3 linked regions of the Mus musculus genome follow. The protein of the gene in region 2 interacts with the protein of the main gene of each other region in a biochemical or structural test. Links are inferred from orthologs where the notes say so. Each region holds a gene or a part of one and is shown on either strand. Other genes may lie near its edges.

The links.
Region 1: the proteins of Ddit3 (region 2) and Fos form a complex in vitro, tested with the Homo sapiens proteins (2 studies listed by BioGRID and IntAct, with this or other methods). The link is inferred for Mus musculus from reciprocal best matches to the Homo sapiens genes DDIT3 and FOS.
Region 3: the proteins of Ddit3 (region 2) and Atf3 form a complex in vitro, tested with the Homo sapiens proteins (2 studies listed by BioGRID and IntAct, with this or other methods). The link is inferred for Mus musculus from reciprocal best matches to the Homo sapiens genes DDIT3 and ATF3.

Annotation. Positions count from the first base shown.
Region 1 is NC_000078.6:85,472,751-85,476,495, reverse strand, and holds the start of Fos (proto-oncogene c-Fos), read right to left. Parts: upstream 2,607-3,745; 5' UTR 2,457-2,606; coding exon 2,316-2,456; intron 1,562-2,315; coding exon 1,310-1,561; intron 905-1,309; coding exon 797-904; intron 680-796; coding exon 38-679; 3' UTR 1-37. UniProt on the Homo sapiens protein: Nuclear phosphoprotein which forms a tight but non-covalently linked complex with the JUN/AP-1 transcription factor. In the heterodimer, FOS and JUN/AP-1 basic regions each seems to interact with symmetrical DNA half sites.
Region 2 is NC_000076.6:127,289,480-127,293,224, reverse strand, and holds the start of Ddit3 (DNA damage-inducible transcript 3 protein), read right to left. Parts: upstream 2,433-3,745; 5' UTR 2,334-2,432; exon of another isoform or gene 2,227-2,333; intron 1-2,226. UniProt on the Homo sapiens protein: Multifunctional transcription factor in endoplasmic reticulum (ER) stress response. Plays an essential role in the response to a wide variety of cell stresses and induces cell cycle arrest and apoptosis in response to ER stress.
Region 3 is NC_000067.6:191,180,703-191,184,447, reverse strand, and holds the start of Atf3 (cyclic AMP-dependent transcription factor ATF-3), read left to right. Parts: upstream 1-1,114; 5' UTR 1,115-1,355; intron 1,356-3,745.

The sequences.
Region 1 (3,745 bases), on a different chromosome or scaffold from region 2:
ACGTCTGGATGCCGGCTGCCTTGCCTTCTCTGACTGCTCACAGGGCCAGCAGCGTGGGTGAGCTCAGGGAGTCGGAGGAGGGCTCGTTGCTGCTGCTGCCCTTTCGGTGGGCAGCGGCACAGCTTGGGAAGGAGTCAGCTTCAGGGTAGGTGAAGACAAAGGAAGACGTGTAAGTAGTGCAGCCCGGAGTACAGGTGACCACGGGAGTACACAGGGGCTCCAGCTCTGTGACCATGGGCCCCATCCCCAAGGAATTGCTGTGCAGAGGCTCCCAGTCTGCTGCATAGAAGGAACCGGACAGGTCCACATCTGGCACAGAGCGGGAGGTCTCTGAGCCACTGGGCCTAGATGATGCCGGAAACAAGAAGTCATCAAAGGGTTCTGCCTTCAGCTCCACGTTGCTGATGCTCTTGACTGGCTCCAAGGATGGCTTGGGCTCAGGGTCGTTGAGAAGGGGCAGGGTGAAGGCCTCCTCAGACTCTGGGGTGGAAGCCTCAGGCAGACCTCCAGTCAAATCCAGGGAGGCCACAGACATCTCCTCTGGGAAGCCAAGGTCATCGGGGATCTTGCAGGCAGGTCGGTGGGCTGCCAAAATAAACTCCAGTTTTTCCTTCTCTTTCAGCAGATTGGCAATCTCAGTCTGCAACGCAGACTTCTCATCTTCAAGTTGATCTGTCTCCTGCATAGGGAGAGATATAAGAAAGCATAAGACACGGGCATGCTCAAGGACCCTGCGCCCATAGTCCCAAGCTCCAACTTTAATAAAGTTTCAGGAGCAGCAGCTGGTTCAACCTACCGCTTGGAGTGTATCTGTCAGCTCCCTCCTCCGATTCCGGCACTTGGCTGCAGCCATCTTATTCCGTTCCCTTCGGATTCTCCGTTTCTCTTCCTCTTCAGGAGATAGCTATAGAAGAAAAGGACCAACATTCAGTTAAGGTTGTCTAGTGTCACCTCCATTCAGTCACCCCAGTGAAACTGGCTCCTACAGCACCCGCACCTCTCGGTGAAGCAGTTTTTCTAACCTGCAGTTGGCAGGCAGAGTGTGATTTGCATTTAAAGTGAGATCTTTAGCAGGGGAACAAAGAAGCTCCCCGGCTAGAGAATGAAGTAGGAAGCTGTCAGGGAAACTGTCTAGAGTTTGTCTTGGGTCCAACTGTCAAAATCTGACAAGGGAGGGAAAGGGCTAGCAGCCACAGCTCCTGGTCAGGAAGTGCAGTCAGTAGCGTCCCTTCTCTGTTGTGTGGTCTGTGCGTCAGTCTCCGCCCCCCCCCCCCCCCCCAGCCCACAAAGGTCCAGAATCGCTGCTCACCTGCTCTACTTTGCCCCTTCTGCCGATGCTCTGCGCTCTGCCTCCTGACACGGTCTTCACCATTCCCGCTCTGGCGTAAGCCCCAGCAGACTGGGTGGGGAGTCCGTAAGGATGGGGCGCTCTGGTCTGCGATGGGGCCACGGAGGAGACCAGAGTGGGCTGCACCAGCCACTGCAGGTCTGGGCTGGTGGAGATGGCTGTCACCGTGGGGATAAAGTTGGCACTAGAGACGGACAGATCTGCGCAAAAGTCCTGAAACAAAACAAAAAGAGGAAAGCGGAGGTGAGCGAGGAGGTTCCAGACACAGGTGGAGCAAGTGGCCCTAGTGTCGCATGAAGCAGGGAGAGAGAAGCATTCCGGTCAGAGACTGCTTATGTCTTCCTGTATGCACCTCATCGGAGATAAAAGCTCTCCCAATATCCTCCCTTGAATTCCGCAGCGCAGCCTTTCTCCTCCATCCTACTGCTGCGTTCCCGTTATCCCTTCGGCATCACTCGCTCGAAAGGGGGTTTGTTATAAATATCCCTGACGTCTGCGCTGACGCAGGCGCTGCTCCGGAGTCTCCAGAATGAACTCGCTTTTTATCAATGAAACTGCCTTACACACCCGCCCGCAGCACCCTCCTCCCTCCTCCCTCCTCCCTGCTCCAGGCTGCCCCGGGAGGGGGGATTGCCGCGGTTTGCCGCCTCCCAAACTCTAGTTAGCGACTCTTTGCTCGAGACTTGTTGGCCCCGGCTGATCTCAGAAACAAGTCGGCCGAGAGAAGAATGCAGGCAGGCCACTCAGAATAAACCTGCCGCGCGGGAAGGGGTCACTAAGTCTTACTATGACAAGTGTGCACGCGCTCAGACAAGTCCTGGGTTCCCAGGCTAAGGCTGCTCTGACCGCGCCAGTCTCCCTCCAGAGCGAAAAAGGAAGACCCCCCCGCCCCTGCGAGTCACACCCCAGTGTCTCCTCCACGGCGACCCTCAGCGCGGACCTGGCGGCTACACAAAGCCAAACTCACCTGTGTGTTGACAGGAGAGCCCATGCTGGAGAAGGAGTCGGCTGGGGAATGGTAGTAGGAAAGGCTGTCCCCGGCCGGGGAGGCGCTACTGCAGCGGGAGGATGACGCCTCGTAGTCGGCGTTGAAACCCGAGAACATCATGGTCGAAGTTTGGGGAAAGCCCGGCAAGGGGTCCAGGGGTAGACACTGGTGGGAGCTGCAGAGCAGAGCTGGGTGGGAGCGCGGTCACTGCTCGTTCGCGGAACCGCCGGCTCTATCCAGTCTTCTCAGTTGCTCGCTGCAGTCGCGGTTGGAGTAGTAGGCGCCTCAGCTGGCGCCTTTATAGAAGCGCTGTGAATGGATGGACTTCCTACGTCACTGGGCGGAACTGGAAGGGGGGGGAAGCGCGCCCCAAGGCCCTCTGCGGGCGCTCTGTCGTCAACTCTACGCCCCAGGCTTTCAACCCCCGTCTTGGCATACATCTTTCACCTATGAGTGTTCACATTTGGGATCTTAGGGGGTCTCCTAGACCTTCCGCGTGTAGGATTTCGGAGATGGTCCCCCCCCCAGAACAACAGGGACCGGCCGTGGAAACCTGCTGACGCAGATGTCCTAATATGGACATCCTGTGTAAAGGAGGGAGGGATTGACGGGAACAGCTCGCCGGCTGCAGCCAACTCTGAGGGTGCAGCGCAGGGGGGGAACCGGGGCCGCGGCCGGGGGAGGGGAGGCGGGAAAGGCAGAGAAGGCGAGCGAACATTCGCACCTGATTCAATGTGGACCCGGTTCCCAGGGTCAAGGGATGAGACCCGGGTCATTGTCCAGCAATCTGGAACTTTTTTTTTTTTTTTGAGTCTCTGGTATTAGGAGAAGCAAGTACGCAGCCTTAAAGGCTCGAAGCCTCTGTTCCTAAAGGAAAGCTTGCCCACATCAGCCCCCCATCCCAAATCAGTGCAGAGAAGAAAAAGGGGGGGTCAGCTTCTCAGCCCCTCTCTCCAGCTCCTTGCCTGGAGAAACTTTAGGACTGAGGTTGGAAGCAGCAAGTGAAGGATTGTAAATAAGTGTACAATAACCTGATTTAACTACAGTACTGGGTTCATTCATAAATTCGTGTTTTAAAGGACGGCAGCACCTACTCCCCGACCCTTAGCCACTTAGAGCTATCAAGGCGACAGTCCCCGTTGACACTGACGGATAAACATTGTGCAAAACCACCCTACAAGTATGCCTGAAGGGGTCGTATGTTTAGTTTTGAGCTGAGACCAGAGGGCGAGTCGGGGCAGGGGGGGAGCTCAGAATTACAAAGTGAGGTGAGCTCGGGGGGGGGGGGGGAGGAGAAAGCAAGTCGGTGCTGGGGAGATGGGGGTCTGAATACGTGCAGCCTGGAAACTGCGCTTACAAGGAACCCGCCTGCAGCGGGTGATTTTCCAGATCGGACTTGGGAAGGGGGG
Region 2 (3,745 bases):
AATCCCAGATAGACCTCAAGTCCGCCAAAGGGAGACAGAACTAGAGGGAAGGAAGAGTAAACTCAGCAGTGCTTGCTCAGATTCCATCCCCCCACTGGCAGCCTCAGTGCAGACCTGCTCTGGGATCTCCAGCTCCTTGGCAGTGTTGAGCAGGCGTTCAGCTTACATGAAAGGCCTTTCCTACCAAGGCTGTATAGTTCTTACTAAATGGCAACTCTAGGTGCTGAAAGCCAAAAACTTTGGTATCCTTGATGCCCCTTTCTCAGATACCACAGCTCAGCCTAAAGCACTGACAACTTTAAAAGTACCCCAAACCTAAGTATTTCTCATTACTACATTATTTCCAGATGCAATTTTTTATTTTTCATTTATTTATTTTTTTGGTTTTTCTTGACAGGGTTTCTCTGTGTAGCCTTGGCTGTCCTGGAACTCACTGTGGACAAGGCTGGCCTCGAATTCAGAAATCCGCCTGTCTCTGTCTCCCAAATGCTGGGATTAAAGGCGTGCACCACCACTGCCTGGCTCCAGATATAAATTTACCATACATTTCTTTCCCTGGATTATTTTGGAAGCCTCTTTGAAATCTCTCCTTTCTTTCTTCCTTTCCTTTCCTTTCTTTCTCTTTTAGACAGGGTCTCACTATGTAGCTTTTGCTGTCCTGGAACTTGCTTTGTAGACTCTCTGGCTTTGAATTTAGATCTGCCTGCCTTTCAAGTGCTGGGATTAAAGGCTGTGCCACTATGTTCAGCTGAGACCTCCTGTTTCTATTCTTGTCTTTTACTTTATTTTCACGGCTGTGGGTTGACCTAGGGTCCTCTACATACCAGGCAAGCAGTGTACTATTGAGCTACATACCTAACCCTTTGTTTTTGTATTTATTTTGAGTCAGGGTCTCATAATGTAGCCCTGGCTGGCCTGGAGCTCAGAGATCTGCCTCTCTGAGTGCTGGAATTAAATGCATGTGCTATGATCATTCCTCTGCTCAGATCCCCCAATGGCTTCCTGTTTCATGATTGTTAAAGATTAGCATCATGAGGGTGCTTGCAAGGCTCTATGAGACCGGCTGCTTGAGTTTCCTTTCATCACCCTCTCCTGCTTACTCTAGTCCTGTTCCTAAAGATACCGGCATGGCATGCTTATCTTAACTCTGTTGCTCAGCCTCTCCCTTCTATAAAGCTCTAACACCGGGGCTTGGCTCACAGGCTTGGCTTCTGATGACAACCTCTAGTCACCGCCCTGAACTATTCTGCCCTGCTTTTGTTTTTTTTTTCCCTTTTGCTTTATACTGAAATGTAAGTTTTATTGAGAACAGTTTTATCTTTTGCTCCTAATATACCCTGGGTCCCCAGATACTTGGTACATAGTGGGTGCTTATTAGGCATTTGTTAGGAATGAATGGGGAAAAAGCCCCTCCCCCAAGTTCCCTTATAGAGAATTAAGCCCACTGAGCCTAAAGGCAGAGCGGAGCTGGCTGTCTCTGGGGACTGCAGATGCAATATTGCCCTGAGTGTTTCTCTGCAGGGTTGTCCTCTAGGGAAAACTCCCTTGGTCTTCCAGTGTGTGGGACCTGGCTTTCATCAGCAGAGGAGCCCCAGGCCTGAGGGTGCAGAGACAAACAGTGGGCTGGCCTGACGCAATGGTTACACAGTTTAGTTAGGAGACGGGACTGAGGAAAGAAGCAGAGATCAATCAGCCCTGGGAGAAGCAGAAGACCCTGGAGAGATCCCAAATAATTTCCCATAGTTAAAGAGATCCAGGCTGCTCTCTTGTATGGAAACCTAGAAACCTCTGGGGAAAAGGGAAAAACCCATCTATGCTCCTCCCACCAGCACCCCCACTCGCAAAGATCTGTCAGTCTTCGCGTTCTCTTGAACTTGAGAGTCAGCTACTAACGTGGCCATGTTGGCCCCTTGACTGAGGCGCTTCAGCTTGAAAGAGTTGGGGGGAATGAGGCTGGTGAAGAAAAGGCTGAGACAGCCAGAGTCCCCGACTTTGGGGGTGTGTCCTGCTGCCCCGCCTTTCCTGCGAACTGCCCAGGCCTAAGCTGGCCCGCAGTTCGCACTACAGAGACAAGTTCCCGAAGGCAACCGGAGTCCCTCTGCAGAGTGGGGACCAACTCGAGACAAGGGAACGGGAATGCAATCGCCCAATGCAAGAGAGGGCCTGTAAGCACCATTCCTGAATCAGGGATTCCCGGCCTTCACCCTTCCCAGTCTACAAGCTTACAGTGGAAGGGGTGGGGCTACATCCTCCAGAACAGTTGTCTCCAACTTTATAAAATAGCTATGCTGGCCAGGATGGGAAGGTAAGGGTTAGACGGAGCCAGTACTCGCCTCTCTCCTCAGGTTCCGGCTGTTATTCTGGCTCTGTCGCTGCCACCCGCTCATCTTCAACATGATATAATCGACGTGTTAGGCTCAAGATAACTGACCTCAAGAGCGGAGAGCGAGTATCCTTTATGCTGTCCGGCCCCTCCTGGGGGGGGGGCAGGGTCCAGGAGCCTACCAATCAGAAAGCGGCACGCTGGCACTGGCTCCGCCTCATCCCTTACATCCGCCACTCAGGAGTCTCACGGCCCCACCCCCATCGCGCCCTCTGGCTTGAGAGTCTACGTTGTCTCGGACCCGGAAGTGGCTTTGGGTCACGCGGCTTCGCGGAGGAGGTGAGTGAGTCATGCGCGCGCGCGGAGGAGAGCGCGGCGAGGGAGGGGATGGGGGGGCGGGGATGATGCAATGTTTGGCAACCGGTGTCCGCGCGCGCACGCGCAGGGGACGTCGATGGTGGTGGGAGGTGCGGGAGGGGGGCTATGGGGGAGAGAGGAAAGAGGGCGGAGCGCCAGCTCCCAGTGTCCAACGGCCCCAACGGCTGTCCTTCCTGAACTTGTCTGCCCACCTCCCATCACCTTTAACTTACTCCTCCATGAAAGGCTCCCATTTTCCCTGGCCCCTCCCAGCTAATGGGCACCGGGGCTCTGGAACCTCTTTAAAGTTTCCAATTTGTTCACCTGGATTGACATCTCCTCGAATCTTTTAAGAGCTCTCCTCCTCTTTTAGCCTTCTAATGCGTCCCAAAGACTGAGTTCCTTGATAGTCCACCCGCTTCTCTCAGAGAGGCACCTTTAACGCTTGTTTCTGAATCGTCCATTACGTGCTAGGATTGAAGTTCTTTACAGAGTGTAGATTGCTGCCTCCTCCTCATCCCACCCCTGCTTTGTGTGATGCTCTTACGCCCTTCACTAAGCCCAGTATCCACCCTCTTCCTTCTCCGAGATAGCGAGTCCTGTGACTCCCTGCTGAGGAGCTGGCCTCCTGCCTCTAGCTGTCTGAGTTCACGACCTACAGTAGAGCCTGGGACGTGCATGCACTTGAACGCATGATTGCCCTGGACTGGGTCATCAGAGGAAACACAGATTCTAGTTTAATTTGTCCAAGGATTCTACCTTACTCATTTGTAAATTAAACAACGATAAAGGTAAAAAGCAGCTCTGTGGAGAAAACTTGAGTAAAAGTAAAAACATCTTGCAAAACGTATTTTTTTTTTTTTGTGCCATGAAAACAGAGGCCATGTGGTGGCCTATTACATAGTCTGTCGTAGACTCAAGAGGGGCAAGCCAGAGTTTAAGTAGAAACTGAACCAAGACCGGTTGCTATTGGATGGTGCGACGGTGACAGGTCCTTGGCCAGACTGCTCCTTCGCTCCAGACCTTCATTTCCCCTTCTGTTAGTAGAGGTGGGGGGTGGGTTGG
Region 3 (3,745 bases), on a different chromosome or scaffold from region 2:
GGTCTGCTGAGGCTTTGGCCTGAAATCGAGTCCTTTGCCCAGCCTTTCCCGCCACCAGATTTGAGTACAAGAGGGCTCGGTGTTCCGGCTTTAAGCGGTGCGCGTTCAGTCCCGGCCACCGTATCCCTAGAGCCCTCTGTTCCTGCAGACAGACACTCGAAACCTGGAGCCGGTTTTTCTTTCCTGATATCCAGGCGGACCCCCACCCCCGCCCAAACCGGGAGCGTAGAGATCAAAGCGTCCTCTTTCCCAGACTAGCCGAGCCGCCTTTTTCCAGCCCTTTCTTATCCCTGCGCTAGGTGGCTCTGATCTCTCCAAATCTTTCCTCTTTCTACGCTCTTGCTTTCGTGGAGAATTCCCTGTTCATTTAAAAACGTTTTGTGGTTGTTATTAAAAATAAAAACAACAACCGAACTGACCGCGTCCGGTCACTAGCACTTCGGGTTCCTAGCGAGTTCGGGGGCCGTGGGCGTGGGAGCACGAGGCTGCCGAATGTCTACGTTAACCCACAGCTGCTAGCTGGGTCCCCGGCAGAGGAGGTCACAGTGGCGGGTAACGGTGTGGATTCATCGGAGTGTAACTTTGGGCACCTCCTTCACGCGGGAGATTGTCACCGCTATCCCTTCCCCGCCCCCTCCTTAGGCTAGGCCGCTGGTCAAAGAAGGCACATTTTCCTGAAGTTTTAGAAAAATGACCACACATTTTAGAGAAAGGTCGTGCCCGCTTCCCAGCCTCACCTAGTCTGGGCCACTGCCAGGATCCGCCTCCCAGCACCACCACCCCCCCTTCCCCAACCTAGCGGAGGGAGAGATGCCAGGGCGGTGGAGTCATGCCGCTGGCTTGGGCACCATTGGCTCATGCCTGGAACACGCAGCGGCGAATACGCACATCTGGCGGTGCGCCCGGGCGGCTCCCAGCCTGATAAGGAGATAGAGGGCGGGCGGGTGTGTGTGTCCCGGGCGTGCGAGGAACGCAGGACGCGCCGTGACCGCCCCTTCTCGCACTTGCATCACCAAGTCCGCGGTCTCCACCCACCTTTTGCCCCGCCCCCGTCCCTCCTTCACCCCTCCTCTGGCCAGTTCTCCCTGGAAGCTATTAATAGCATTACGTCAGCCTGGGATTGGTAACCTGGAGTTAAGCGGGCTCCCTGCCAACGCGAGGGCTTTAAAAGGGGTGATGCAACGCGCTCCCAGCCACAGTCTCACTCAGCGAGACGCCGCGCACGGTGCTTCCCCAGTGGAGCCAATCGGCTAACCCGCGCTCCGGCAGAGTCCTTGGCGCTCGCCCGCCGGCGGGACAGACCACCCGCCTCTGGCCGCTCTCTGGACCCTGGCCGCCCCGAGCGAAGACTGGAGGTGAGTTAGAGCCACACCGAGGAGCGCTGCCCTCCTCACCCTAAGTTCCCCTCTGGTGACCAGTCCCGGGACCCTTGCGCCACCGGAGACTGAAGCCCTAGTGTCCGTGCCACAGTCGCTCGGCTGAGCCGCTCTTTGCCGCTGCCGTTCTTAGCTGGTAAAAAGTTTCTGGTAAAGTGAAAGAACGAACTTTCTCTTTTGACTCGAGGCGTGAAAGATGCCCAGGGACGGAGGAGTTGCGCTCTCAGTTTGCAACTAGGAGAGGTCGTCTGGGTGGAAGGTGGGTGCTGGTGCGCGGAGGTGACTCACACTCTGGCGATCGGGGTCCCCTCTTCCATCCATCACTTCTTGTCCCGGACCCTGGACTCGGAGCGGGTCCCTCCTAAGTCCGCGTAGAGGCGCAGTGGCCGCGGCTTGTTGAAGCGCTGCTCCCGGTATCGAGCTAAATGAATGAAGACCGGACGCTCGAACGGAGGTCCGGCACAGCCGCTGGAGGTCGCCTTGCGCTCCCCGGAGCAGAGATCTGGGCAGCATGACCGCGTAGAGCGCTGTGAGCGAAAGTGTGTTAGGATAAGTTTGGAGGCGGCGAGCCCTGGTGTGGCGCTGTCCCGGGGCTGAAGGCCGAGAGGTCTCCGCACCAGCTAACTTCGGACCGCTAGGTTTGAGACGTCACTTCCAGCCTCACTCGCTGTTGTGACTTGCTGTGCTCTGGCTGACTTTTAACCGGCCCTTGAGTTTCTTTATGTATTGGAAGGGAAGCGAAGGAATCGGATCAAGCGGGTGGAGGGACCAGGGTGTGGAACCACTTGTACTTGGGGGGGGGGGCGTGCGGGGGGGGGGTTGTTTGTATTCTCGTGACAGAGTCTCACTCTGTAATCCAGACTGCCCATAAAAACTCCGGCCAATCCTCCTGCCTCAGCCTCCCAAGTGCTGAAATTACAGGCCCACACGCCCAGCACCTTTCTGTGCGCTGTGTGCTTCAGATAGCCAGCTTTTGACAGATTTGTTTCTAGACTAAAATAATTAAAGTAAAAGGAGCCAGGGAGGGATGTTCAGTGTGGAGGCTCCCCCACCCAGCGTTCCTAGCCGGTCTCTGAGACAGGACAGGAAAGGGGGCCTCTCTTACATCTCTGTCTCCTAGCTCTCTCCCGTTGGATTGATTCCCTGCTTCGACCCCATGCTCATTTTCAACTCCCATTTCTGTATTTTCCTCTTAGCCATTTTATTTGATTTAATCATGTAGCTCACGAGCTTTCTTATAAATTAAAGGAGTTGCCAAGCCCGATTATTTAAAAGGTTTATTCTCCCCTCCTGTTGTTCCACTCTTTTGAGACAAAGTCTCCCTATGTAACTGGGGCTTGCTTTAAACTTATGGCAGTCTTCTAGCCTCGGTCCCCAAGTGCTGAGATTACAGGCATGTGTCACCAAGAAGGGAGCACATGTTTTGCATGTTGCATTTGTTATGGGATAATGTTACCACATACAGGCTCTTGCTTGGAGCGGGTGGGGCTGGGGTGGGGGTTGCTGTTGCTTCTATCAAGAGGTTTCAGAGGCTGCTGACCAGGTTCCCAGAGTGAAGAAGGCATTGCCCAGCACCTGTGGCTATCTAAATCCCTTCTTGGCACACCAGTTTCTTCTGGTCTTCATTCTGTCAGAGCCTCCTCTATGAGGGGTGCCAGGTATGGGTCTCTTCAGCCCTCAGTTGCCCCCCTGGCAGGCAGCTCTCTCTGTGGTTGCTTATTTGGTTGATCTATTGAACTAACTGATGGGTCCTCCTGGTAGTGCAGAATGAGTAGAGGGTGGGTGTGGGCAGCTTGGCTGGACTGGACCACACCCATCTCTGTGAGTTTAGTTAGGCAAGTGCTTTCCTTCTGGGACCTCAGTTTATTCAATGACAAAATGGGGGTTTGAGCTAGACAATTCTAATGCTGGGAGTCCCGTTGAGTTCCTTTAGCCAAAGTCTGTGATTCTTTAAGGAACTGGCTACAGGGGTTCCTTGTCAAGGGAGGAGGGACATAGCCAGGACCCCCCAGAAACTTCAAGAGAGAAATGGTTTCCTATGTGAGAACTCACAATCTTGGCCAATCCAACCCTAATGGAGGAATGCTGATGTCAGCCAATTGGGTGTAATTCACCTGGTGTCTTAGGAACTCGGGGGTCAACCACCAGTTGTGACAGACTGGCTTGAAATTCTTGAGGGTTCCAGTCAATTCCTGATGACTAGAACTAAACTGAACTGAACTAGATCAGGGTCCCTGAGGGGCAGGGAGAATGTGAATGTATGGATCCTAATTTCCTTATGTTTTAAAGTTTGTGCATGTGATGTGTTGTTCCCCACAGCCCTGGGAGGGAACTGGTCAGTTCAGATAGGAACTGAAGGTCAGAAAGCC